Arabidopsis thaliana: one gene and its partners. The protein of the gene in region 2 purifies or fractionates together with the protein of the main gene of each other region. This does not show direct contact. Each region holds a gene or a part of one and is shown on either strand. Other genes may lie near its edges.

Evidence for each region.
Region 1: the proteins of AT3G53870 (region 2) and AT1G45000 fractionate together in Arabidopsis thaliana (co-fractionation; one large-scale study listed by BioGRID). This does not show direct contact.
Region 3: the proteins of AT3G53870 (region 2) and AT1G04810 fractionate together in Arabidopsis thaliana (co-fractionation; one large-scale study listed by BioGRID). This does not show direct contact.

Annotation. Positions count from the first base shown.
Region 1 is NC_003070.9:17,005,120-17,013,296, reverse strand, and holds AT1G45000 (AAA-type ATPase family protein), read right to left. Parts: upstream 4,247-8,177; 5' UTR 4,078-4,246; coding exon 3,975-4,077; intron 3,703-3,974; coding exon 3,583-3,702; intron 3,488-3,582; coding exon 3,351-3,487; intron 3,262-3,350; coding exon 3,100-3,261; intron 2,941-3,099; coding exon 2,854-2,940; intron 2,763-2,853; coding exon 2,676-2,762; intron 2,582-2,675; coding exon 2,444-2,581; intron 2,237-2,443; coding exon 2,045-2,236; intron 1,948-2,044; coding exon 1,849-1,947; intron 1,765-1,848; coding exon 1,690-1,764; 3' UTR 1,368-1,689; downstream 1-1,367. Other genes in the region: AT1G44990 (uncharacterized protein), read left to right, coding at 5,489-5,538, 5,581-5,755; PME7 (pectin methylesterase 7), read left to right, coding at 7,374-7,439, 7,649-7,792. UniProt on the Arabidopsis thaliana protein: The 26S proteasome is involved in the ATP-dependent degradation of ubiquitinated proteins. The regulatory (or ATPase) complex confers ATP dependency and substrate specificity to the 26S complex.
Region 2 is NC_003074.8:19,947,195-19,955,371, forward strand, and holds AT3G53870 (Ribosomal protein S3 family protein), read left to right. Parts: upstream 1-4,229; 5' UTR 4,230-4,352; coding exon 4,353-4,382; intron 4,383-4,474; coding exon 4,475-4,622; intron 4,623-4,697; coding exon 4,698-4,869; intron 4,870-5,103; coding exon 5,104-5,290; intron 5,291-5,375; coding exon 5,376-5,588; 3' UTR 5,589-5,824; downstream 5,825-8,177. Other genes in the region: AT3G53840 (Protein kinase superfamily protein), read left to right, coding at 1-525; AT3G53850 (Uncharacterized protein family (UPF0497)), read right to left, coding at 1,068-1,268, 1,366-1,498, 1,670-1,800; AT3G53860 (INO80 complex subunit D-like protein), read right to left, coding at 2,656-2,920, 3,496-4,076; AKR4C11 (NAD(P)-linked oxidoreductase superfamily protein), read left to right, coding at 6,044-6,163, 6,350-6,400, 6,735-6,811, 6,922-7,009, 7,178-7,453, 7,543-7,791, 7,891-7,977.
Region 3 is NC_003070.9:1,346,861-1,355,037, reverse strand, and holds the start of AT1G04810 (26S proteasome regulatory complex, non-ATPase subcomplex, Rpn2/Psmd1 subunit), read right to left. Parts: upstream 4,959-8,177; 5' UTR 4,735-4,958; coding exon 4,589-4,734; intron 4,206-4,588; coding exon 4,136-4,205; intron 3,932-4,135; coding exon 3,826-3,931; intron 3,513-3,825; coding exon 3,404-3,512; intron 3,326-3,403; coding exon 3,157-3,325; intron 2,968-3,156; coding exon 2,507-2,967; intron 2,401-2,506; coding exon 2,265-2,400; intron 2,163-2,264; coding exon 1,914-2,162; intron 1,815-1,913; coding exon 1,594-1,814; intron 1,498-1,593; coding exon 1,239-1,497; intron 1,118-1,238; coding exon 885-1,117; intron 799-884; coding exon 300-798; intron 125-299; coding exon 1-124. Other genes in the region: AT1G04800 (glycine-rich protein), read left to right, coding at 5,801-6,403; AT1G04790 (RING/U-box superfamily protein), read right to left, coding at 6,895-6,957, 7,041-7,139, 7,234-7,333, 7,423-7,511, 7,600-7,800, 7,998-8,096. UniProt on the Arabidopsis thaliana protein: Acts as a regulatory subunit of the 26 proteasome which is involved in the ATP-dependent degradation of ubiquitinated proteins.

The DNA of each region.
Region 1 (8,177 bases), on a different chromosome or scaffold from region 2:
TAAGAGCCGTGTCTTTACTTTTTAAGACTTCACTTACCACATGTTTTGATCTTTTTTTTTTTTTCTCATAAGTTGCCTTTTATTCAAACCAGTTTTGTAAAAGTTACAAAGTGGAACTTCCACTACAGCATAAGACAACATTCAGAAAACTACAACATGGAATTGAAACTAAAACAACAAGAACTCCATGTTTAAACAGAACCAACAACAGATAAGTCATTACCAAAAAGTCTTAAAATGACCCTATCCTCATCGTTCTGCAACCCAGGAGCTGCTGTCTCCACTTGAACTCAAAGCAAACGAAACTATAGCAGATATGCCATAACCAGAAATTAATACATGACCATATCCGCATAGTTATTCAAAGCAACAGCTGCCGAACTAAACTAGTTACCAAAGCAGCCTAAATCAAAAAACCAATACGCCTTAAGCTGCCTCCATTGCAGCCTAAACAAAAACTTTGACAGAATTAGCAGAGTGTTAACGTTTTTTAGGAGGTTTCAGAATACCTCCTATCATTTGATCTTTATCTTGATGCTTGTGTTGCCTAACAGTTTCTTCATTCCTAGGACCAGCCATATTCTTTCTCTTAGATGAATCCCCTTTTTCCATCAAGTGCTCAGACACTGTATTCTCACTTTGCCTTGATGATTCACCAATTTCAACCAGACGAGGTGTATTTGTTGCAAAAGCAGGTCCAGTGAAAGGATGGATGTTTGAGTCTCTTGATGATTCACCATGTTTTGATCTATTGATGGAATTCAATTAATTATTATAAATTTAATTAAATAAGAAAATCATAAAATTAATATTTTCTATTAATCCAATGATCATTTCAGAGAGCCTCACCGTTGAGGATGCTTTTACGTTTGTCAATAGATTAAGACAAAAATTAACGTTCATTATGGTTCATTTTTCAAAAGAGTAAAATTGTCTACCATCAGCATGTAGAACCATCTATTGTTAATCTTTGTGGTACATATAGAACTGACAGTTATAAAGTCGTCGACAAAATCGTTCACCATAAAAAGCTATAGAAATGATTACTTAGTCGTAAAAGTTATATTGATCATTCGTAATAGGATATGATTAGCTCACAGAAGTTGTAGAATGAGTTTATAGTTGTGCAGTAAATATTTTTTGCAAGGAAGGCTAGCAAATACTTTGTGAAGATCTGAATCGCATTTCACACATTTGTAGCACTCATCGTTATTGATAGGAATACAGTATAAATTTTATAAATTAATAAACAAGAAAAATTAATAAATTTTGCTAGTTCCAGATCGGACAAATATAAAAATTAACTAAAATCGATAAAATAATAAGATAATAATTTTTTTAAAAAATCTTATATAAAAATATGGTCCCACTAATATTATAAATTAATAATTGATTTTTGTAACATTTTTTATATGAAAAATCATTGCTAAGATTTGTGATTACGACACTTGAGTTTTCTGACATTTTAGATATACAGGATGCATGTTTGATCAGAAAATAAAATAAAAAAATATAGGACAAACAGAAAATAGTTGTCATTACTAAAACAAGAATTTTTGTGTTTACTAGAACCTCAAAACAAAACATTGAGAAACTGAAACAGAATCATCAGCTTGTTTTTTCAAAGTGAATAACAGAGTTTTTCACTGCCCTTTAGGCCCTCTCTTCTTCTCTGAGCTTATTCTTTTCTTACTCTTTCCCAAAATCCGCGTTATAGTGAGAGCTCGACTCAAGCTTCTTGGCCTCGCTCAGCTTTCTCACAGCCTGTACAACAGACAATTTGATAAGCAGAAAAGTTTGGGTACAAAAAAATATGTAAACATGCGGAGTATTTATTTTTGTTTCTACCTTCATGAAGTCTTCATGTATTACATAGTCACGCTCTGCTCTGATTGCGAACATTCCAGCTTCAGTGCATATGTTACGCAGATCGGCACCATTGAAACCCTAAGGATGTTGATTGAATGGAACAATCAGTGGGATCTATAATATATAACAAAGGCAAAAACTACAACGCAGTGACATTTAAGAAAAACAAACAAACCTCTCCAAGTTTCACGATAGCCTCATAGTCTATTTCTCCATGCTTGGCAATGCCAGATGCGTGGATCTTGAGGATTTCCATTCTTGATTGTTCATTTGGCAACGGGATCTCGATCTTTCTATCTAACCTACCCGGACGGAGAAGTGCTGGATCAAGAACATCCGGCCTGTTGGTGGCCATTATCATTTTCACCTAATAGTATTATCTCCCAAGTATCAGAAGATATTCCATTGTACAAATAATTTTGGGAAACAGATAAATTTAACAATGAAAGTAACCACTTGAAACATGAGTTATAAAACAAAACTACCTTGAACTAAGTTATCCCCAACAAGCAAGTTTCACACCGTAACCACTCAGTTTTATGCACGAGTACTATTCTAAAACTATAGGTCATACCTTTCCAAGTTGGTCAAACCCATCAAGCTGGTTAAGTAACTCCATAAGTGTTCTTTGAATTTCACGATCAGCACTAGTTCCTTCACTAAAACGGCGTCCACCAATAGCATCGATTTCATCCATGAAAATGATACAAGGCTAGCCCCCAAGAAGGAGTGTTAAGAGACAATTCATGAACTTCAATATAAAGCATATCAAGGTATAAGACAAGAGGAAAGAGATGGTATTCTACCTGATGTTCACGAGCATAGTTAAACATTTCTCGAATCAACCTAGCACTTTCTCCAATGTATTTGTCTATGATTGCACTAGATACAACCTAAACATAAAGGTAAAAAAAGAGCTTATTTAGCACAGACAAGGTATAATAAAAAGAACACCAAACCAAACCTTCAACAACAAAATCAAACCTTCAAGAAGTTGGCGTCGATATTGCTGGCAATAGCCCTAGCTAGTAGAGTTTTTCCAGTACCCGGAGGTCCATACAGAAGGACACCCTGGAATGAGAGAAATGAAAATTAGCATTATGGAAATTGAAGTGCGTTTCAACTCTTTTTAGCCATTCATGCAGGTAACCACGGCACAGGGAAACATAAAAAGTGAATCATGAGATAGTTTGTGAAAACAAAAGAAAGGACTGGAGAGAGATCAAGTACCTTAGGAGGTTTAATCCCAACTCTAAGGAAAAGTTCAGGATTCATGAGAGGCAGCTCAATAGATTCCCTAAGTTCTCTGATCTGATCACCTAAACCACCCACAGCTGAGTAACTAATGTTGCCTGGATCTTCATGCAACATGTTATAAACAACAGGATCAACCTACCAACACATACCATCGAATTAAAACCAGTACAAATACACTAAGCAGCTACAAAAAAAAAAAGCAAAAATACTGAAATCAAGCATACTTCACGAGGAAGGGCTCGCATAATTGTCAGCGTAGTCATATCCAGGACAACTCGAGTTCCAGAAGTAAGCTTTTCCTTGTCCACCTTGCTACGACAACCCACCACATAACGAGGGCCACTACTTGCCTTAACAATCACTAAAAAGAAGAAGAAAAAATTCCACCTTTAGATGATAGAAAACACAAAGTGTAGTATTCAATCAAAAACATAAGGTAGCAAGATAGAAAATTACATCGCTCGTTATCAAGAGGACGTAGTACTTCTCCAATAATCTGGCCAACGCTTTGAAGAGACTTCAAATCATCCTCAGTTTTGTTGAATTCCTTCTTAGCTGCTCTTAAATTCTCCCTAGCTGCATATAACCACAAGACCCAGTTTATAAGAACTATAACAAGTGAAATTAAGCTTGAGATCGACTTCAAAATTGACTAATCAAGTGAAACAAACGGTGGAACCAATTCAATTCGAAACTCCAAAACCCCTAAAATCGCGTCACTAATTGAAGTAAAGTCTCGAGATTTCTAATGGGAACGAAGAGTAGGAAAAAACCCTAGATTCGATTTTGACCCACAAACTAAACCCAGAAAACGAAAGAGGAGAATGAGGAAGATTTTGAAATCGAACCTGTTCGGACACGGGATTCGAGCTCCTTGTGATGAAGGAGCTTCTTCCGGTAATCAGTCACCGCCGCGGTACGGCGTCTAGCAGCGTCGTCTCCGTCGCTCATCTTTTACAGATCTCAGAATTTGACACTGAAGCAATTTATCAACTTTTTTTCTGTTTTAAAGTAATTTTGTTTTCTTGAGGAATGGGTTAAGTTAGCTATGAATTAAGGGCTTTTGGGGCTATTTGGGTCCGGCTGGGTGGATCCGTTATCATTCACTTCATCAGCTTCTGTTCAATTCCAAAAATTAAAATAAAGAATAAAAAATTAATTAAAGAAACCTATCTTCTTAAGATTAAAAAATACGTCCAGAAATATTTTAATTTGTAGAAACAAGAAATAAAAACTTTATTGCAATTTGTTCTGCCTAAATTCTGATTTTTTGAAAATTTTAATTATTTTTAATTTTTAATTTTTAGTTTTTTGAAAAAGATTTGGTGGTACAATCAGCTTGAAGCATTGGAGACTTATACACTCACATTAGCCTTATCCATTATATATATGATTTATCATATGTATTATTCAATTCTGATATATAATAGTATTGTTTTTTTTCTCCGGCACATTCTCAAATACATAACTGCTCTTTTAAAAAAAAAAAAAAGTCGAGACTATTTTCTTCTAGAGCGTCTACATAAGATTTTAAACAACCAATGGCGGTTTGCCATCTCAATGGAAGGTTGTAGAGCCTACAAAATTGAATCATGCGATATGTAGGGGCGTGATTCTGATGAGATCGTTGGTTGCATTGGTCAGGTTGAACATAAAGGCTGTCTATATATATATATATATATATATATTTATTTATTGTTAAGAGTTTATAAATTTTATGTGGCACAATTGGTTAGGTAAGGTTTTATATCTTCTAGAGGTCCTGAGTTCAAAACACTCTTGAAACATTCCTTTTTATTTTAAAATATCCAAAACGACGTAGTTTATATTGCGGCTCACTTTTCAAGTTGGTAGTATTGACCTGCATTTTTTTTTAATTGAAGGGTTAAAAAAAAATTGTATTGTAGGATTTTTTGCACAAAAACCATATTTTTCTACATATTGCATAGTTTAAAATTTTAAAATTAGATGTAAATTTGTGAAATGGTGAATAGTATGTGTAAGTAAAAATATGTTGTACTATTTAGGATGTATAGGAATAGAACAAGAATATATTGTACTATTTTTCATAACTCATTCATAAATCAATTTTAATTTAATATACTAAATGCTAAACCAAAAAAACTTATACCCAAACCATAATTATATGTGTAAAACTTGTATAAACTCAAAAATTGAAAATGATGTATATTTTCAAATGAAAAACGGTATATAGAATAGAATAAATAGTATAGGACAAAGTGTTCTAGATAAAAAAAAAAGAAAAAGTTATTAACTATTCAAAAATTGGTGATAGTGGTGGTGACGGACTGACGATGGTGGTGGTAGTGGTAACGACGTGCTGGTTGTTTTGATAGTGGTGATGGTGATTGCGGTGGTGATGGTTACGGTGGTCGGGGTAGTAGCAATATGGTAATAATGATCGTGATTAAGGTGGTTGCGGTGGTGTAGCAGTTTCGGTGGTGATGATGGTGATGGTTGTAGTAGTGACAGCGCTATGGTTGTTGGTATGGTGGCGACAGTTGCAGTGGTAGTGCTGGTGACGACATGGCGATGGTGGTTGCGAATTGCGATGATGGTGATGGTTGCAGCGCATGGTGGTGATGGTAATTATAGTGTACTAGAGTAATGACTAAAAAACAAGAAAAAATAAGGGTATTTTAGTTTATATTGTAGTTTATACACAGAATATCATACCTCTTTTGTTTCTTAATTATAATTTATTTGTTGGTTAGTTTTACAAATTTCACTTAATGTTTTTTTACTCCAAAAAACACCTACGGGTTTTCTATTTATTAGGCATATATTGTCTTATTTAGTACTAGAATAATAATGGCTATGTCTTGTCTTCACACACGAGAGATTAAGGTTGAGAATATATTGTCTTGTTGTTAGCGTAAACTAAAATATATTGTCCTCACACGCAAGAGATTAAGGTTGAGAATATATTGCATTGTTGTTAGCCTAAACTAAAATGGATGAAACCAATTTCTACCAAATTCATTTTTAGCCATTTAAAGTACATGGAAAACAAGTATTCAAGCTAAATTTCTCTTAAAAAGGATAAAGTAAGACAATTTTTCTTTCTATCTTTTATTAGTTGAAATTTTTGGACCACTTTTCTATTTTTTTCTTAACTTTTTCAGTTTTTCATTTTCTATTTTTTTTTTAGTTCTCACTTCCCACCAATCACACCTTTAAGATTCAATGTTGATTTTAGCGCCTAAAATTTGGATTCTTATTGAACAATTCAAAAATTACAAAAATAATTTTTTTCTTGGATTTAATGAGTTTATTTCTAATTGAAAAAGAAAGAAAAAGAGAATTAGTTTTTAACAGGTTAAATAGTTTTTAAACTAAACATATTGCAAAACTTTCATTTGCAAGGATCAAAGATTTTTTTTTTTTTAATTATTTTGATCTGTATTATATTGGACAAATCCAAATTTATATATATATATATATATATATATATATATATTTATTTAATTTGTCAAAATCTACTTCTCTCTCTCCACCCTCATGGCTCTAAGACCATACATTAAATACAACTTTAGTCTTTATACTATTTTCAGAAAGATACAAACAAAAACTATCTATAAACAAGAAAAGATAAAACAAAGTTACAATCATCTACCAATTTGTTTTAGTTAAGACATTTATTTCACTTGCACATGCATAATTGTTTCTTTGACTGCTAAGAAATTTTCATTAGTTTATGACTTTATGCATGTGAAAAGATGACCATAATAATCTTTCAAATGGAATGCTCTTGAAACTAATACAACGCAATTAAGAATTGCTCTTTGTAGATAATTAAACCAAACTTCACTGAATTATAGCTTCAATTCACATTGCACTGAACTGTTTAGATTGATCTCAAAATTAAGTTTTTTTCCTAACTATTGTCGTTTATTGAATACAATTATTTAAAAGGTAAATTGATTTAGTTGTTTTGCTTGTATAAAAGACCACCATACCTCTCTCCTCTTTCCTCAGTTCACATAATCTAAATTCTAAAGAGAGACGAAAGAAAGAAAAAAAAAAACTTTCAAAAATGTTGGTTAAAGTTTTTTTCTTTTTCGATCTTGATGATAACAACGGTTATTGGCGTTAGCAAAGAATGAGATGAACAGTCATGTCAAAACCTTTTGTTGGACCTTAAGACGATTTCCGCACCACTCTCGGAGATGAGACGTCGTGAGTTATTGATCATCGTTTTGAAAAATTCCGTGCGGAGGATCGACATGGCTATGATTGGTGTGATGGAAGATTCAAAACTACATGAGGACATGGAGAATGATATGCTTGGTGTGAAGGAGGATACAAATCTATTTGAGGAGATGATGGAGTGGCAGAAAATAGAATGATCCGTTCAGTGAATGAAATCTTAGGAGGAGAATTCCCTAATCTTAGATCTTGAAACGTCCACACTTGGCTCCAGTGGCGTTCTTACTAGCTACATCACATATATCGACGAAATTGGTGAATGTATAAACGTCGGGTCGATCCTGAGCTTGAGGACCTCACTTCTAGGGCAAGAGAAGCTTTAGCCCTTTTTATCTCTATTTCGCTGAGAGACAACACCGAACTTAACTTGGTGGTTCCCAATGGCCCGTCTTGGTTATCTCACGTTGACAAGAAAGATCTATATCTCAATGATGAGGTGATAAAACAAAAACCTAATATTTTTCAGTTATAATTTGATAATCGTATAGTTAGATTTCTATCTATAAACTGGTAACCTTTAAAATACACCAATCTTTCAGGAAAAAACGTAAATATATATACACTTTGTGTAATAGATTCACTAAACTAATTTGATTATGGAAAAAATTAAATTATGTTCATTTTATTTTTGGATGTTTGTTCTTCTAAAGCTTGATTAATATTTTTTGGAGCTATTAGAGGTAATTTCTCTAAAAACATTACATTAAATTTTCTTATTAAAAACGTTGTTACTTGCGCATCATAATCACAAAAAGCTCATCATATCTTTATATAAAAACTTAACCAAAAAGATATCAAAACTCAAGATGGACCAAGAAAAT
Region 2 (8,177 bases):
GCTCAAGGACTTGATTATCTTCACTCGTCTTCATCGCCGCCGATTTATCACAGAGATGTTAAATCAAGTAATATTCTCCTCGACGAGAATCTTGATGTTAAGGTTGCTGATTTTGGATTATCAAGATTAGGTGTGAGTGATGTGAGTCACGTCACCACCTGTGCTCAAGGAACATTAGGTTATTTAGATCCAGAGTACTATCTTAACTTTCAGTTGACGGATAAGAGCGACGTGTATAGCTTCGGGGTTGTGTTGTTCGAGTTATTGACTTGTAAGAAGGCGATTGATTTTAATCGTGAGGAGGAAGATGTGAATTTGGTGGTGTTTGTGAGGAAGGCTTTGAAGGAAGGGAGATTGATGGATGTGATTGATCCGGTGATTGGGATAGGAGCGACGGAGAAGGAGATTGAGTCTATGAAGGCGCTTGGAGTTTTGGCGGAGTTGTGTGTGAAAGAGACGAGACAATGTCGACCAACTATGCAAGTTGCTGCAAAGGAGATCGAAAACATTTTACACGGAATTTAAATGTTTGTTGAAACGACGTTTTTGTGTTGTCGTTTAAGAATCTGTAAATAAATAATTTTGGAAGAGAATTTAGAGATGTTTCACTCTTCTTTGTACTAAACAGCAATGTTATTTGCGAATACCCGTTGCAACTTGTGCATTTGATTCGTAACTATTCGGAACAAAAAGATCGGAAAAAAGCTAGCGATAAAATGATGTGATCCTAGGTATAAGATGTTTCACCGATTGGAATTACTCTTCTTTGCACTAAACAGCAATGTTATTTGCGAATATCCCGTTGAAACTTGCACTAGATGATCGAATTCGGAAGACTCAATGACTAAAGCATCAATCATTGTGAACAAGGTAGTAGTAACTTTGTTTTTAAGTTCTAAGTAAGGTGTAGTGGTTAAGAGAGAAATGCCAATATGCAGCAGTAGCACTTGATTGCAAGAAACATTGATAGATTCGATTAGAAGCAGATTGTTAACGTCATCAAAAGCTACAAAGATGTCTCAACATTCCAAGAAGAAGAAAAAGTTGGGAGTTCTTTGCGAAACTAACTAAACCGAGGCTAAGATCCAAAATGTGACATGAGAAGAAACAGCAATCTGGATCCAAGTGACGAAAGAAAGCGCTACAGCTACTTCATACCTAAGACATGGATATTGGCTTTGAGTATTGCAATACTTGATATCTTTTTCATACAAGACTACAACTCCTGCTGATGAACATGCAGCTGCAAGAGATAACATTGCCGTCACCTGCAAAACAAGAAAAACAATTCTCAATCCTTTAAAAAATCATATCAAGAACACTGAATTTAATGTAGCAAAGCCATAAAAATGTGGTGTTGCATACCCAATCACCAACGACGAATAAGCTAACCAAGATAGGGTTTTGGAGATCTTTCTTTCCCCTGAGAGCATAAACATCAAGACATGCTAGCCCAAAGCTCCACAACAATTGAAGACCCATTGACGCAATCAAGTAGCTGAAACCAACCCCAAAATCATAATCAACATCAACGAGACTTGTACTACTACTAATAAACACCAAAATTGCTTGCAGAAATTCCACTACCATTTCTACTAAATCCGACAACTAAACGAACAAAACAAGGTTAAAGGAAACAAATCAAAACTTGAAGAAAGCGAAACCGTACCAAAAAGCAGTGTGAACAGAGAACTCTTTAGCAGAGACCATAACGCCGATTGAAGCAGCAGCTGAAGCACATTGTCCGATTCTCAGTAACAGACCACACACAGTTCCCGGACCTCCTAAAAGCTTCTTCATTTCAATCAATAACGACTCCAATTTCTCTTCCCAAACCCAGAAATTCCGACAAAATCAGCGAGGAAAGAGGAACAAAATCGAACAAAACCCTAGTTCAGCAAGTAAAAAGCTACATTTGCTTCAGGAGAAATTTTGGCGGGGAAAAAAAGAAATTGCAGAGGAAATTCATAGCTAAGAATAACCCTATAAGAGGATTTTGTCACCTACAAACAGAATTTCCCGAAACGGCTTAGATTCGATTATAAGCTAAGCTTCTTCCTTGTTTCTCCTTTGACATTCTCTTTTTCTTGCTTTGCTTTTTAGTGGACTGAGATAAGTGAGATAAGCATCCTACGTGGCAGCACAAACTAACTTTTTTTTTTTTTTTTTGTCTTTTTTTTTTTTTAGCGATTGTATTTGGTCGTTAAGAATCTGAAGTATTATTTGTTGTATTTTTGAGTTCTAAAAATGTGTATGCAAATGCAATGCCTTTTTGCCTGTCTCTATGTGGCTATTAGACCATTACATAAGTTTTCGTAGTAACTCGTAAAATTGATCAAAATTGCAACAAAACAGAGTTAAATTGAGTTCCAACACAAGTTAAGTGTTTGTGCTTATGGATCAAATATCATCATCTTATCAAGTCTTTACAAACAGTGGAATCATCATCTCAATAACTCCACTGTAATTAGACCTATCTTAAGCTACCCTACATTGTACCAAAACCTGTTCTTAATAGCTCAGTGCTGATAAAAGATCCGATACCAACACTGTAACAAATCCATCGCTAGTCAAATCTACTCACAAGAACTGAAAGAGATGGATCTCTAGAAGATATAGTAAGCCAATATATTATTTCTGGGAACGCGGCTTGACTCAGCTTGTCATTTCTTCCTTTACTACACTTTTAAGTTTACCCTCCTTATGTGGATTTTTTCTTTGTGCTTGAATGTGATGCACAAATGCAGCTACTATAACATGGAGCTTTGGGGGAGGCTTGCTTGTTGAAGAGACATTGTGACCAGCATCTTTTAAAGCTTTGGCAACATTCTTCTGTGCTTTCTGGTAGTGCACGTTACACAGTACAGGAACAGTCGATGCTAGTGTTGGTTTTCCACAAAGTAATGGTCCTGCTGGAGATCTGAATGTACAAAGCAAACAAATGCAGAGTTAGTAGAGAACCGCTCAAATAATCATCATGTGCTAATTACAAACCAGCATGAAAAAGTACATATCTATGAAATCTGGATTGTAACAAACCGAATCTGATAATAACAGTGTATCAATCTGAAACCAGGTTAATGTTGTATTCCAAGTCACTTACATTTTCAAAGAGCTCATCTCAATGTTCAGTTGGAACACATTTTCAAAGATGACATAATAATGCTAATAATACTCATAACCCTACCTCGTTTGCAAAGATACCTTAATAGAGACATCTTTGTCACTTATGTATATCAACGCAGCACATCAATCAAGGTTATGAAACAAGTCAAAGTACCGAATCTATATACGGTTACCAAAGCTAAAATTTTCTCCCAATCCCTACGGAAATCTTTGAAACAGAGCAAAGTCTCAATCCTAAAACCTTTCCGCAGGCTCAAAGAAGAAAGAAACTATTTCTTGGCACAAACATTGCTTTGCAGTTTCAATTCATCATCACTACAACATCTTAAACCGACTATACAATATAAAAGAACACAACTTGAAGCAAACCTGTTGATGACGTTTGTGCAACCAGTGTAGAGCTTCTGCTTACTATCCTTGAGAATATGCAATTGACAGTATTTGGTAAGCGCCATAGCTTTAGCTTTGCATCCATACATACAGAACCCGGAATTGCTGTTTGCATACTGATCACCATCATTACCCTTATCTCCACTACCTTCTGGATCAAGCCTCCGTCTCTTATTCGATTGATTTTGTTCGTCTTTAAACTGACTAACCCCATACTTACACCAATAATCCCTGTGTTGCGCCTTGAGATCCTCCATTAAAGCCCAATAATGGTTTTTATAACACTTGGCCAGCTGCTTTAGGTTGTCTGCTCGGCGTCGGAGAAGCTCTGGGCGTGTGAGGTGACTAGAGCTTGCGAGGATTTCATCTTCTTGTAACATCGTAATCGGTGAATTCGAGGTCGATGGTAAGACGTTTGTGCTAGGTTTAGGGTTCCGAATTTGGGGTTCAACTGAAGTGGAAGCCACAGCGGTGGAAGATGCAGCGTTGGAGGAAGACGGAGGTCTTGGGGGTTTCAAGGAGAAAGGGTTTTGCTCAGTGTTCTTGGCAGCTGACGCCATTGTCGTCGCCGGAAAATGATGACAGAGAAGATTCAAAATGCGAGATTTTTTTTTCTCTTAATTACTTGATTGAAAACATCCATGGGCCCAAACCAATTATTTAACTATTTTATCAATGTATGGGCCAAATTATTCAACAAATAGGCCCAAAGGAAATTGGATGTGAAACCTGATTTTCTGAATTAGGTCAAGTATAAGTACTAATAGCATCTCTTTCGAGATTACGCCGCTCATTTTTAGGGTTTCAGATATAGGCAGATTCTCACATTTGCAAACATGACGACTCAGATCAGCAAGAAGAGAAAGGTGAATTGTGTGATTCTGTTCATTTTGTTCTTTCAATGGATTTATCGTATTGGAACTGTTTTGGTAACTGTGTTGAGATTTTGATTTTGTAGTTTGTAGCGGACGGTGTGTTCTACGCTGAATTGAATGAGGTTCTTACAAGAGAGCTAGCAGAGGATGGTTACTCTGGTGTTGAGGTTAGGGTTACTCCTATGAGGACTGAGATTATCATCAGAGCTACACGTACTCAGAATGTTCTCGGTATGTTTTTGATCTTCGAGCTTAATCATTTCTTCTATTATACGGTAGTGACTGTAAAATTTGATTGTATTTCAGGTGAGAAGGGGAGGAGAATTAGGGAATTGACTTCCCTTGTTCAGAAGAGATTCAAGTTTCCAGTTGACAGTGTTGAGCTTTATGCCGAGAAGGTTAACAACAGAGGTCTCTGTGCCATCGCTCAGGCTGAGTCTTTACGTTACAAGCTTCTTGGTGGTCTCGCTGTTCGTAGGTACGACATTTCTCTAGTTCGTTTGCTATGTTACTTTGTTTGATCAGTTTAGTTTATCATTAGAGACTGATTTGGATAGGTTACTAGTGTATATAAGCATTCACCGATCGTTATAGTTGTATGTTTAGTATAGAGTAATTGTTCTTATAGACTCTGTATGGTTTCAAATAGGTATTGTCTAGCTTCTAAGTGTAATGACTTTAAGTTCTCATGCAATGGTTATATGTTGTATAGGGCTTGCTATGGTGTGTTGAGGTTTGTTATGGAGAGTGGAGCTAAGGGATGCGAGGTTATCGTGAGTGGAAAGCTTCGTGCTGCCAGAGCCAAGTCTATGAAGTTCAAAGATGGCTACATGGTGTCATCTGGTCAACCAACTAAGGAATACATAGACTCTGCAGTGAGACATGTTTTGCTTAGACAAGTGAGTTTCGTCTGAGTTGTTCTTATTAGAGTTAAGTAAAAAATCAACAACGTCTAATTAAAGTGTTGTTAAACCGAATATGTAGGGTGTGTTGGGAATCAAGGTGAAGGTTATGCTTGATTGGGACCCTAAGGGCATATCAGGACCAAAGACACCATTGCCTGATGTTGTGATCATTCATTCTCCTAAAGAAGAAGAGGCCATCTATGCACCTGCTCAGGTTGCTGCCCCGGCTGCTCTCGTAGCAGATGCACCACTCACAGCCGTAGATTACCCTGCGATGATCCCAGTCGCCTAAAAGAATCCTTTGTACTAGTCGATGTGATTTTGTTTTCAACTGTTCTTGCTCTTTTGACAGATTATAGCTTCTCGTATCTTCGAATCAGACACGTTTCCTCTGTTCTTATTCGAAAATTATCTCAAGTTTCCATTGTTGAAAAAGCCCTTTTTAGTTTCATAAATCATTCTCTCTTTGGCAAATTATTCTGAATTAATTCGTAATATTACAAGACCAGTTTGTCCAAATTTTGGTACATCCATCGAATTAACTAATCGTAATTACTAATTACTAATTACTCTCATCACATGAAATATGAAAACACAAGTATTTGCGTTTAGTTATATCCACGTGTTTGAATACTAACCGTCTGTTGTTATAAAACTCCGACGATTTTCCCGCTCCGTCGACACAAACCTCCTCCGTCTTTCGTAAAAGGTTCTCGAGATCTAAGTCTCACTTCTAAAGCTCTGACAATGGCGGACGAAATCGGATTCTTCCAACTCAACACCGGAGCAAAGATCCCATCGGTTGGTCTCGGGACATGGCAAGCTGCTCCTGGCGTCGTTGGAGACGCCGTCGCCGCCGCTGTGAAGGTTCTTCTGTGATTTTCCGTCTCATGGTTTCTCATTTGACTGATCCTTAGAGATCTTTGATTAGATGTTCTGATCCTTACATAGTTTGGTTTTTCCCTCAATATTGGTTGATCTTGGGATTTACGGATTGATTTGGAAATTCGTTTCAGTAGCAGAAGAACTTAATAATCATTTCGTTTTCTGCAGATTGGATATCAGCATATTGATTGTGCTTCAAGATATGGCAATGAAATTGAGGTAAAATTCACCGATCCGAATCTGTATCTTCCATAGTTTGCTTCATATAGTTCATCTTTTGACGGCTCGTTACTTGATTTGCCTTTATATAGAACAGTATATAGTATGATCGTTCTTACTCGATTGGCTGTTTTATGTAATTCTTACTAAGGTTAACCAATTTATATTTAGGAATGACAATTGCACACATTGTCTTGTGTATCTTTTTCTTAAACTAGCTTTAAGTTATGTAGGATTAATGGAGTTATTTGTTATAGACTGTTTACAAGTTCATTTGAAATGTGGCTTTTTGTTTTTCTTGATGGAGAAATTGAAAGCTTTTTTTAACCTGCAGATTGGGAAAGTTCTGAAGAAGTTGTTTGATGATGGCGTAGTGAAGCGTGAGAAGCTGTTCATCACATCAAAAATCTGGTATTTTGTTCATGAAGTTTCTGCATCTCTATCATTTTTATGCATTTTCAGTTTCCCTCGTTTGCTTAAGCCTCTTAACCTATTAAAATCTACAAATTATGCAAGCACAGGTTGACTGATCTTGACCCTCCGGATGTACAGGACGCATTGAACAGAACTCTTCAGGATCTGCAGCTTGATTATGTTGATTTGTATCTCGTAAGCACGACTTCTTTGAACAAATGCTGATTTTTTAATAAGTTCTAACAGTTTTCAAGATCCGTTCCTTTCTTCAATATCTAGCCTGAATTGTCCGGATCTCTGGATTTGAAACTATACATATGCTTGCTTATACTTTGATTTGTTTCATTTGATATTTTTTTCAAGATGCACTGGCCTGTTCGGTTGAAGAAAGGTACTGTTGACTTTAAGCCTGAGAACATTATGCCTATCGATATTCCGAGCACATGGAAAGCAATGGAAGCACTGGTTGATTCAGGCAAGGCAAGAGCCATTGGCGTAAGTAATTTCTCTACAAAGAAACTCTCAGATCTTGTGGAGGCTGCTCGTGTTCCTCCCGCTGTAAACCAGGTGGAATGTCATCCTTCATGGCAACAACATAAGCTACATGAGTTTTGCAAGTCCAAAGGGATCCACCTCTCAGTAAGTTTTAAAACACTAAACATTTCCAAATCATTTAATGAGTCCGAATGTCATATTTATATACACTTCGTGAATGTTGATTGTGGCAGGGATATTCGCCATTGGGATCTCCTGGAACAACGTGGGTGAAGGCCGATGTTTTAAAGAGTCCGGTTATTGAAATGATTGCTAAAGAAATCGGGAAGTCTCCCGCACAAACCGCGCTTCGATGGGGACTTCAAATGGGTCATAGTATACTTCCCAAAAGCACAAATGAAGGAAGAATCAGAGAGAACTTTGATGTCTTGGGATGGTCTATTCCAAAAGAAATGTTTGACAAGTTTTCCAAGATAGAGCAGGTAAGTGAAACAATAAACCACATTTCTGCAAATTTCGTATCTGTGAGTAGTCTTAACTGTAACCTCTTGTATTTTGGATTTTGAATCATCTCTGTGCAGGCTAGGTTAGTCCAAGGCACGTCGTTTGTTCATGAGACGTTGAGTCCTTATAAAACACTTGAAGAGCTTTGGGATGGTGAGATCTGAATCAAAAGATGTCTTTTGTTGAATTTTAAAGTTGAAAAAGAACAAAGTTCCACTGCTTTAAGCTTTGATCGAGAATGTGTAAACGATTCAATTTTCAATAAAAGTAGGATTTTGCAGACATATTAACAATCTCTTATGTTCATACAGTAAATCACTAATCCGAGAGGTTGATGATAGATAATCTAACAGTTATATTTGAA
Region 3 (8,177 bases), on a different chromosome or scaffold from region 2:
GGCTATCCTCCATCAATTTGATGTATTTCTCCTGTGAAGGGACTACACGCGCAGGATTGACTAGAATCTCAAACGTTGCTTCTGGCTCAACCTTCTTCTCCACCGTTGTAGCTGTGCTATCAACCTGGCATAGTAACATAGAGAAAATATACTTGATCAAAAGTCAAAAGACTGATGATAAATTGATCATGACCTTGAGATTAATCATAGGAACAGCATTTCCCAAAGTAAAAAATGTTAAGAGCAATTTTTCAACTCAAACAGATACGAAGATGTTGGGAATTAGATTTGCATTTTACCTGCATAGACTCTGCTTCCTTCTCATCTGACGCTGCATTGGCTTTTCCAGCTTCATTGCCAGAGTTTTCAGCTTTAGCTTTCTGCTCTGCTTCTTTCTTAGCCTTAGCTTTGGCTTTGGCTGAGGTTGAGAGCACAGCAGTTGGTAATTTGGCAGCGGTGTTGGCAGTAGCAACCGTAGTTGGTTTTGGATACTCAAACAACGATGGTTTTGCGTGTGACATGAATTCAAACTTTGGGACTTTGAGATCGTAGTTCAAACCGATGAAGGCGGTGGGTGAAAACGCCAAGCTTATGAAGTAAATCAATGGGTACCAATACCAAAACTGGCTGAAGACAGTAAGGCCAATGACTGCAGTGACTTTGTCATGTTTTGTCTTAGACAGCAGTCTTATCGTCACATTCCTTCCACCAGCATCAAGAATACCTGAAGCCAAAATTGCTCCCATCTTGCTCATTGTATCTTCATGCTTGTCAAGTATTATCTTCTCAAGTTGACGCCTGCAAAAGCACAGACAAATTTTAGTCTTCAAAAGAGAACTATTCTCACTCCCTCCAATTGATGAAGAGATCGGAACTTCACTAACCTAAATGCTCCAACGCGAGAATCGCTTGCTTCACTAATTTGGACCATCACCATGGCCATGGCAATCAGAGCACCTTGACGAACAAAGTCTACAACATCTGATGTAAGTGGCTCCAACAAAGATATCGCCTCACTCAGACCAGTGCCTGCACAAGAGATGCCAACTGCAAGAGCTGCGCCATAGCGGACATGTGGATTGTACGACTCGGAAAGAAGGGATACAATACGGGGAGTCTACAGTTTAAATATTGAGCCACCAGTTAATGACTGTAAGCGAGCACAAGAGCCCTAAAGGCACTAAAGAAATGGAATATAGTGTCAAGAAGTTAATGAGACAAAAAGAATATGGAGTTACCTGCTCTGGATCAGAGTATAAGACAAATCCAAGTGCAAGAACAGCAGTCCTCCTAACATCGTCACTGACATCAGACACAGCAAAGTGAAGAAGTTGGCGGATGGCTTTGTTGTTTGCAGTTCCACTGTAAGCCAATGCGAGTGCATACATTCCACCATAACGGATGATAGGATCCTGATCTCTAGTCATCTGCTCAATCAAAGTATCTGCTCCCTCTTCTCTTCCATATACTGTGAGAGCTATTCCTAGAGCCAATCCCCTAAACACAAAACCAGATGTTGGTTACTTAAAACATTGAAATAAATTACCATGCACCCACACACATAGCCAAAAATATATTCCAGACTTTAGTTACCTTATTATCTTCTCATGCTGAGTCTCGTGAGCATAAGCGAGCATCTCACTTGCCTTATCAGTTGCTGTTCCAACCAACAATAGACCCATGCTTATGCCGGCAGCTTCACCAGCAACAGCACTGTCAGTGTAAAGCACACTTTTGATATCATCATATATGTCTTCATCAGCTGTCCCAAGAGCAGCCAAACCAAGACCTAAACAAGCTCCGTGTTGAATAACCTGCAACCATATTTTTTTAATGAAAATCATTCTAAACAAAAGACTATCTTTTTGGTGATATAACGGAAGACTATCCAGAAGAAAGATATAGCAAATCACCTCAACACTAGTGCTGCGTAGACTATCACGAAGAAATTGCTTGATTCCCTCACCATGGTTTGCATGAATAAGGCCGAGAGCATATAAAGCACCCCCTTCGGAATAAGGACTCCCGCCACCACCTGCTCCGCCCTGAGGCAAGTATGGGGCCATCAGTGACCTGCCCTGTTGCAAGTGACCCCTATGAATAACACCTAATCCTGCTGTAGCACTAAACTTGGCCCAATTGGTGGCCCTGCTTAGCCAATCCTGACAATTCAAACATGAATGGAAAAGAAAAGAAGATTAAATAATATGCCACATAGTTGACGTTGAAACAAGTTAAAAAGTGGTAGAGAAAATAAATTTTACCAAATTCTCCCTGAGAAAAGTGTCAACTGTCGTTCCAGCATGCATTATAGCATTAGCATAAATTGTAGCACTGTGACATACACTGTTCCGCATCTCAACAGATTGTTTGATTGTCTTCAGGATCAGCAGGTCCGATCTACAAAGAAACAATGGCCATTGCTGTAAATTTTACTATGTGGAAGAAACGACTTAAGAATGAAATATCCTTCGAGATATCAAAAAAGGTAAATAAACTGCCTCACTTGTTATGGCTGTAAAGAAACTGGAGTGTCAGTTGTATTGATGTCTCTCCAGATAAAATCCCCTTAGCCTTTGTTAACCTCTCAGCGTACACAGCGTCAACAGGATCTGTTTCATGCACAATTGTCTGAGATGGAGTTTCATCCGCCATCTGAACATCCCCTGCAGTGTTCTCATTCTGAGCAGTAGAGGTTTCAACAGCTTGAATTGCTTCTACAGGACGGGTCTTGGGCGCTGGAAGGCGATCTCTAACACTCATGAGGAATGCCTGGTGCTCATTCTGTACAAGATCGAAAGAGATTTGGAAAGCCAATAAAGCATCATCTTTGTTCTCTGAACGAAGAAGCTTCTCCAATATGCTTGCAACGCCTTGTGGTTCATCCAAGAACATAAGGCATTGGCAAATGCTCAAATAATCAGGAGAAGCCAGCTTCTGGTAAACATTAACAAGTAACCGAAGAACCTGCAAGAACGAAGTAAGGATGTTATCATTTACAAATTAACAGCCCCTACAAAAATGTTTTGAGTTGACATAAAGAATGCAATGAATTATAACCATTATATTTGTAAGAAAAGAATAAAGAAGATGAGCTCATAGTATCATTAACATAATACATCTATTAAAATCCAGTTTTGTGGCCACCAGACTCACCTCATGTCTATATTCTCTTTGATTAACAAAAGAGTGGGAAACATTGATGCAGTAAGATAATGTTCCCTGCACATTCTCACTCTTTATGATCGCTTCCTCCAACTTATCCAATCTCCGGCATTCTATAGCAATGCCCATGGCTTGTTGATACTTTCCGTCAGTGATACATCTATAAAACAGAAAACCATGTAAGGAAAAACGAAAAACTTGTAGACAGACATAAATAAATAAATTCTGCATCCCATACTTGTCTAGCATTCGTTCAACAATGGCCACCAATCTCGGGTCAATTTCCACCACCTCACTTGACTCGACTGCCTTTGATCTGAGAATAGCATACTCATCTATTGCTTTGGCTGATAAGGAAAACAGAAGCATCCATGAGTAAAACATTCAACATTAAACAGTTAGTAACTGTAAGATCACTATCTTATCATGTCTTTGCGTAACTTTCTAGCAGCACAATCTTATTAAAAGAAAGATGGACGTTCAAGTCTTATTAGTTAGAAAATATATCGTATAAACTATTTTCTTAATCTTCCATTTAATCAGGTTGGAATGATTTTGAATTTACGCCTATTAAGAATGATAACCGAGCTAGTGTCTACTGTCACAGAATTGGATAAAAAAAGTAGAAGAGAAGAAAGTAGCAAACTTCAAAATCCTTACATAGAAGAGTATGAATATAATCAGAATCCTCTGACACATCAAACAAGGATCCAGCTCCAAGGGCATAGGACAAGGAATCGTTAAGCTCACCCAAGTAATAGAAAACCTGAGATAAAACAAGATTAACATAAACGTTAGAAAACAAGTCTTATAATACAATAACATAACTTGATTACAGGAAATTCAAGCTCTGAACTTCTGTAGCAATCTACCAGCTTTTAAGGTATCCGTTTAACTGGCACTCGTATCTCCACTAACAATTTATATAAAACCAGTCATCATGTAAGTTAAATAAAAAGATAAACTGTACCTTGGAGGCCAACAAGGCAGCAAGCTGTCTTTGATGCTGATCAAACTCTTCATCTTCGTATAAGCTCTCTCTACAAAAAAATCAAAAAAAGGTCTCAGAATAGCACAAAAACAGTTTAAGATCTCAAGCAAAAGTAGAGTCTCTACAACTTTCAAAAGAACAAATTTTCCGCATCATGACGGTAAGGGAGCGTCCTTAGCCCAGATAACAATGGTTCTATTCAGAATCAACAGAATTAAGTAAAGCAATTCAATAAAGTTTGTCACTTGTGAATTAACGCATTCAAATCTAACTCGACACAAGAGTGGAAAAACTTGGAATGTAATACCCTAACTAAGAAATATCAAGAGTGCTAAAACTCATCCAAATCCCATAAGCTTTACTCCCAGTAAGCAAACAGAATAGCCTCACGAAGGGAAACAATTAAAAAAAAGAGAAGAGAGAATTGAATACATGATTGGGACACTAGTGGAGATCTCGGGCCAAAATTGGTCAACCAATCTGATGAGATATGAGAGAGCGTGAAGTTTCAAGGAAGGATGGGGTTCGTTGAGCATTGCCAGTAACCCACCGGCGGAACTAACCATGGCGGCGGCCATTATCCTAATCGGAAAATTAGAAACCTAGAGGTGGAGAAGAAGAGTTGATCAGACGGAGGAACACAAGAACCGAACTACTTTGGGCGAGCACAATTTCTGAGTTCACTTTTTCACAAGTCTAATCAAAATCGAAATTCTAGACTTATCGAATATTAAGATACTTACCCAACAAGTCAAGTAATTTTTACCAATACCCCTAAATGTTTAATAAGATTACACTTTCACCCCAAATATATATGATGGATCCAAACAAAATCATAAAGTCGGAATACAAAATTGGGTCTAATGATGGGCCAGACTATATATCTTATAGTGTTAATGGACCAATCTAGCGGCCCATAATAAAAACTTTATTGGTTTGTTTGGAAGTATAGCATATGAGTTTCTAGTTTACATCATTGATTGATGACACCTAAAAAGCTAAAGCTCACAAATAAATGAAATCACATTTTAGGGTTTATATAGATAGTTCAATATTCCATAGATTGACATGGCCTGTCCTCCAACCTATAAAGCGACTACATCTTTTATCAAGTCAGAATTATTTTCTAGTAAATATTTTCTCTTAGACCATACGAGTTTTCACTTAATATGAAATTATGAATAGACATGCAGAAACATTTTCATTTTTAGTTATTGCCCTCTGAAACCTGGACAACCTTCAAATTAAATTTTAATATAATTGATATGAATGTATGATTAATATAATTCAAGGAACTGTATATAATAATTGGTGTCATATGTTCTTCAATTTTTCAACTATATTTGCATCATATTTTTCTCTTTGTGTTGGATGAGATCAATATGGCAGTTGGGCAGACAATGAAACATAAAACTTGTCCAGTGACCGGTGAAACATCTTTAACTGTTTTTACTCAACAGCAATTATATCCTAGTTGTTGTACAGGTTGAATCCATGCACATTGACGAAAAGTGCTTATGCTATCACGATCTCTCTCTAAGTCTATATATATACTGCTCATGCAAGAAGCAATTTCGTATCAAAACATCCTCTTCCAATAGCTTCTAATATTTTAACTACAAACATTTTAAGTTTCCACTAACAATGGGTCTAATCGCCGGTAAAGTGCGTGTGTTTGTTTTGGTGTTTGCTTTGGTCACAGATTTTACTATGGGAGAAGCAGAGTTTGGTGATGAGAAGCCCTTGTTTCCTCACCCTCACCCTCATCCTCTCCTCCACAAGAAGGGCTTTAAAAAAGAATTCGGCGACTTAGGTGGTGGTGGTGGTATCAGCGGTGGAGGCGGCTTTGGAGCAGGTGGCGGTTGGATTGGAGGCAGTGTTGGAGGCTTTGGTGGAGGAATAGGCGGTGGATTTGGTGGAGGAGGATTCGGAGGTGGAGCCGGTAAAGGAGTTGACGGTGGCTTCGGAAAAGGAGTTGACGGTGGAGCCGGTAAAGGAGTTGACGGTGGAGCCGGGAAAGGATTTGATGGAGGAGTTGGCAAAGGAGTTGACGGTGGAGCCGGAAAAGGATTTGATGGAGGAGTCGGCAAAGGATTTGAGGGAGGAATCGGAAAAGGAATTGAGGGAGGAGTCGGAAAAGGATTTGACGGTGGAGCAGGTAAAGGAGTTGACGGTGGAGCCATTGGAGGAATCGGCGGAGGAGCCGGTAAAGAAATTGGTGGAGGAATTGGCGGCGGAGGTCACTGAGAATTTGTTTAACCGTAATGTGCATTGATGAGGAGCTAAAATCCAATGCATGTCATTTAAGAAAACTAATTCGTTATATATGTAACAATAACTGAAATGTATGTCGTTTCTCTTTAGTTTGTTTTACTCTTTGAATATGATTGTATCTTGCTTCTTCGTGCAAGTAAAGTGAATAAAACGATTAAACAAAGCCTTGTGCATTTAAATTGATTTTAAAAGGTATATGTTTAAACTAAAGTGAATAAGTGGTAGTATCAACTTTCTTAATCTACAAAAAGTTCTTAGCTAGATATATTTAAACCCGAGAAAATAATCACAGAGATACACAGATAATCATCCCTCGCGCGTAAACGGTAGTAAAACCCCGTTTAATGAGTTCAAATTTGATGGCCAAGAATGTTTGACTTACCCGCAAAATGATTCCAGAGATCGACCGGTTTGGAAGGGTAAAATGGTAGTTTTCAAATTCTCCGATGAATTTGAAAACCTTGTCAAGTAACTGAGGATTTGCAAACCGGACATGATTTACTCCGTCCTAGCCATGGATCAATGCACTGCACAATAAATAAACAATGGTTACTTTTCGAATCTCTGTTCTTAATAAGGGGTTTTCATTTGAATCAGTAAAGATCCTTACATCCTTGTGGAATTTGTGCAAACAAGGAAGATGACGTATGGTGTCTCCAATCTTCGGAGTTTCCAGACAGATAACACAAGTTTCTTGAAAATTATCAGTCTGCAAATTAACACATAAGCAATCAAATAGAAGCTTTTAGTAACAAAATTTCGATATGAAAAAGCTGAATTTTACAAGTGAACCTTTAGCTTACTTGAACTGTAGACTCTGGCAAGTTGTTAATGCGATTAGCAGAAGCACCGCCATGTCGATGGTTGTTTTCATCAAGAGCTAGCAGCAATTCGTAATCATCTCTGCACCGGAAATGGTTGAACTATCAAGCTTCATATATTGAAGAATCATAGTAAGATAATGACGAAATTCTATCAATAAGATACCATACTCAGTAAAGTCACGATCCATATGAAGAAGATTACTACTGGTAATGGAGTGTCCAATAGCATTCTCTAATTCCTCCAGAATATCCATTCTCTGTTACATTAAAAAGGGTAAGGATGATTCTACGGTACTTAACAACATTAGGCAACATTCAGGATATAAACGGAGTTAAAAAGAGTACCGAGTCTAAGCCCATATCAATTGGAAAACTGAAATTCAGAGCTGTACGTAGTGAAGCAGATGCACCGCCTAAACGATAACCTCGACCCCGTGCTGGTGCTCTAACAGGAGCACGAGCCTGTGGAGGATTGAATCGCCTCCTTGAAGAATGTTGTTGCAGTCGTGCTTCCAGGCGACTTCTCCCACGTGGATTTGCTGCGATCTGTAATTAATATACATTGGCATTAAAACAACGGATGAGACTAACATGATCCCTAAAGCCAGATTCTTTTTAAGTGCAAGTTTACGAAAGAACTCTTTCATGTTTGATAAAGATTAGTCTCGCATCTGAACACAGAAAATCGAAAGAACCAGGTAAAAAAGACGCAAACACAGGAAATTTTCTTATCCATGACTTACGGTATTAGAGCTTCGGGTAATACGAGTAGAAGCACGACTAGAAGAAGCCCGGAGAGAATTCTCTTCTTGTTCCATCGACCTGGCTATGATTTCATCGATCTGTTACCACATATGAAGAAATAAGACCATTGGAAACCTTGATTGATAAAAGGATGGAACATATAGAGGATATCCAAACAA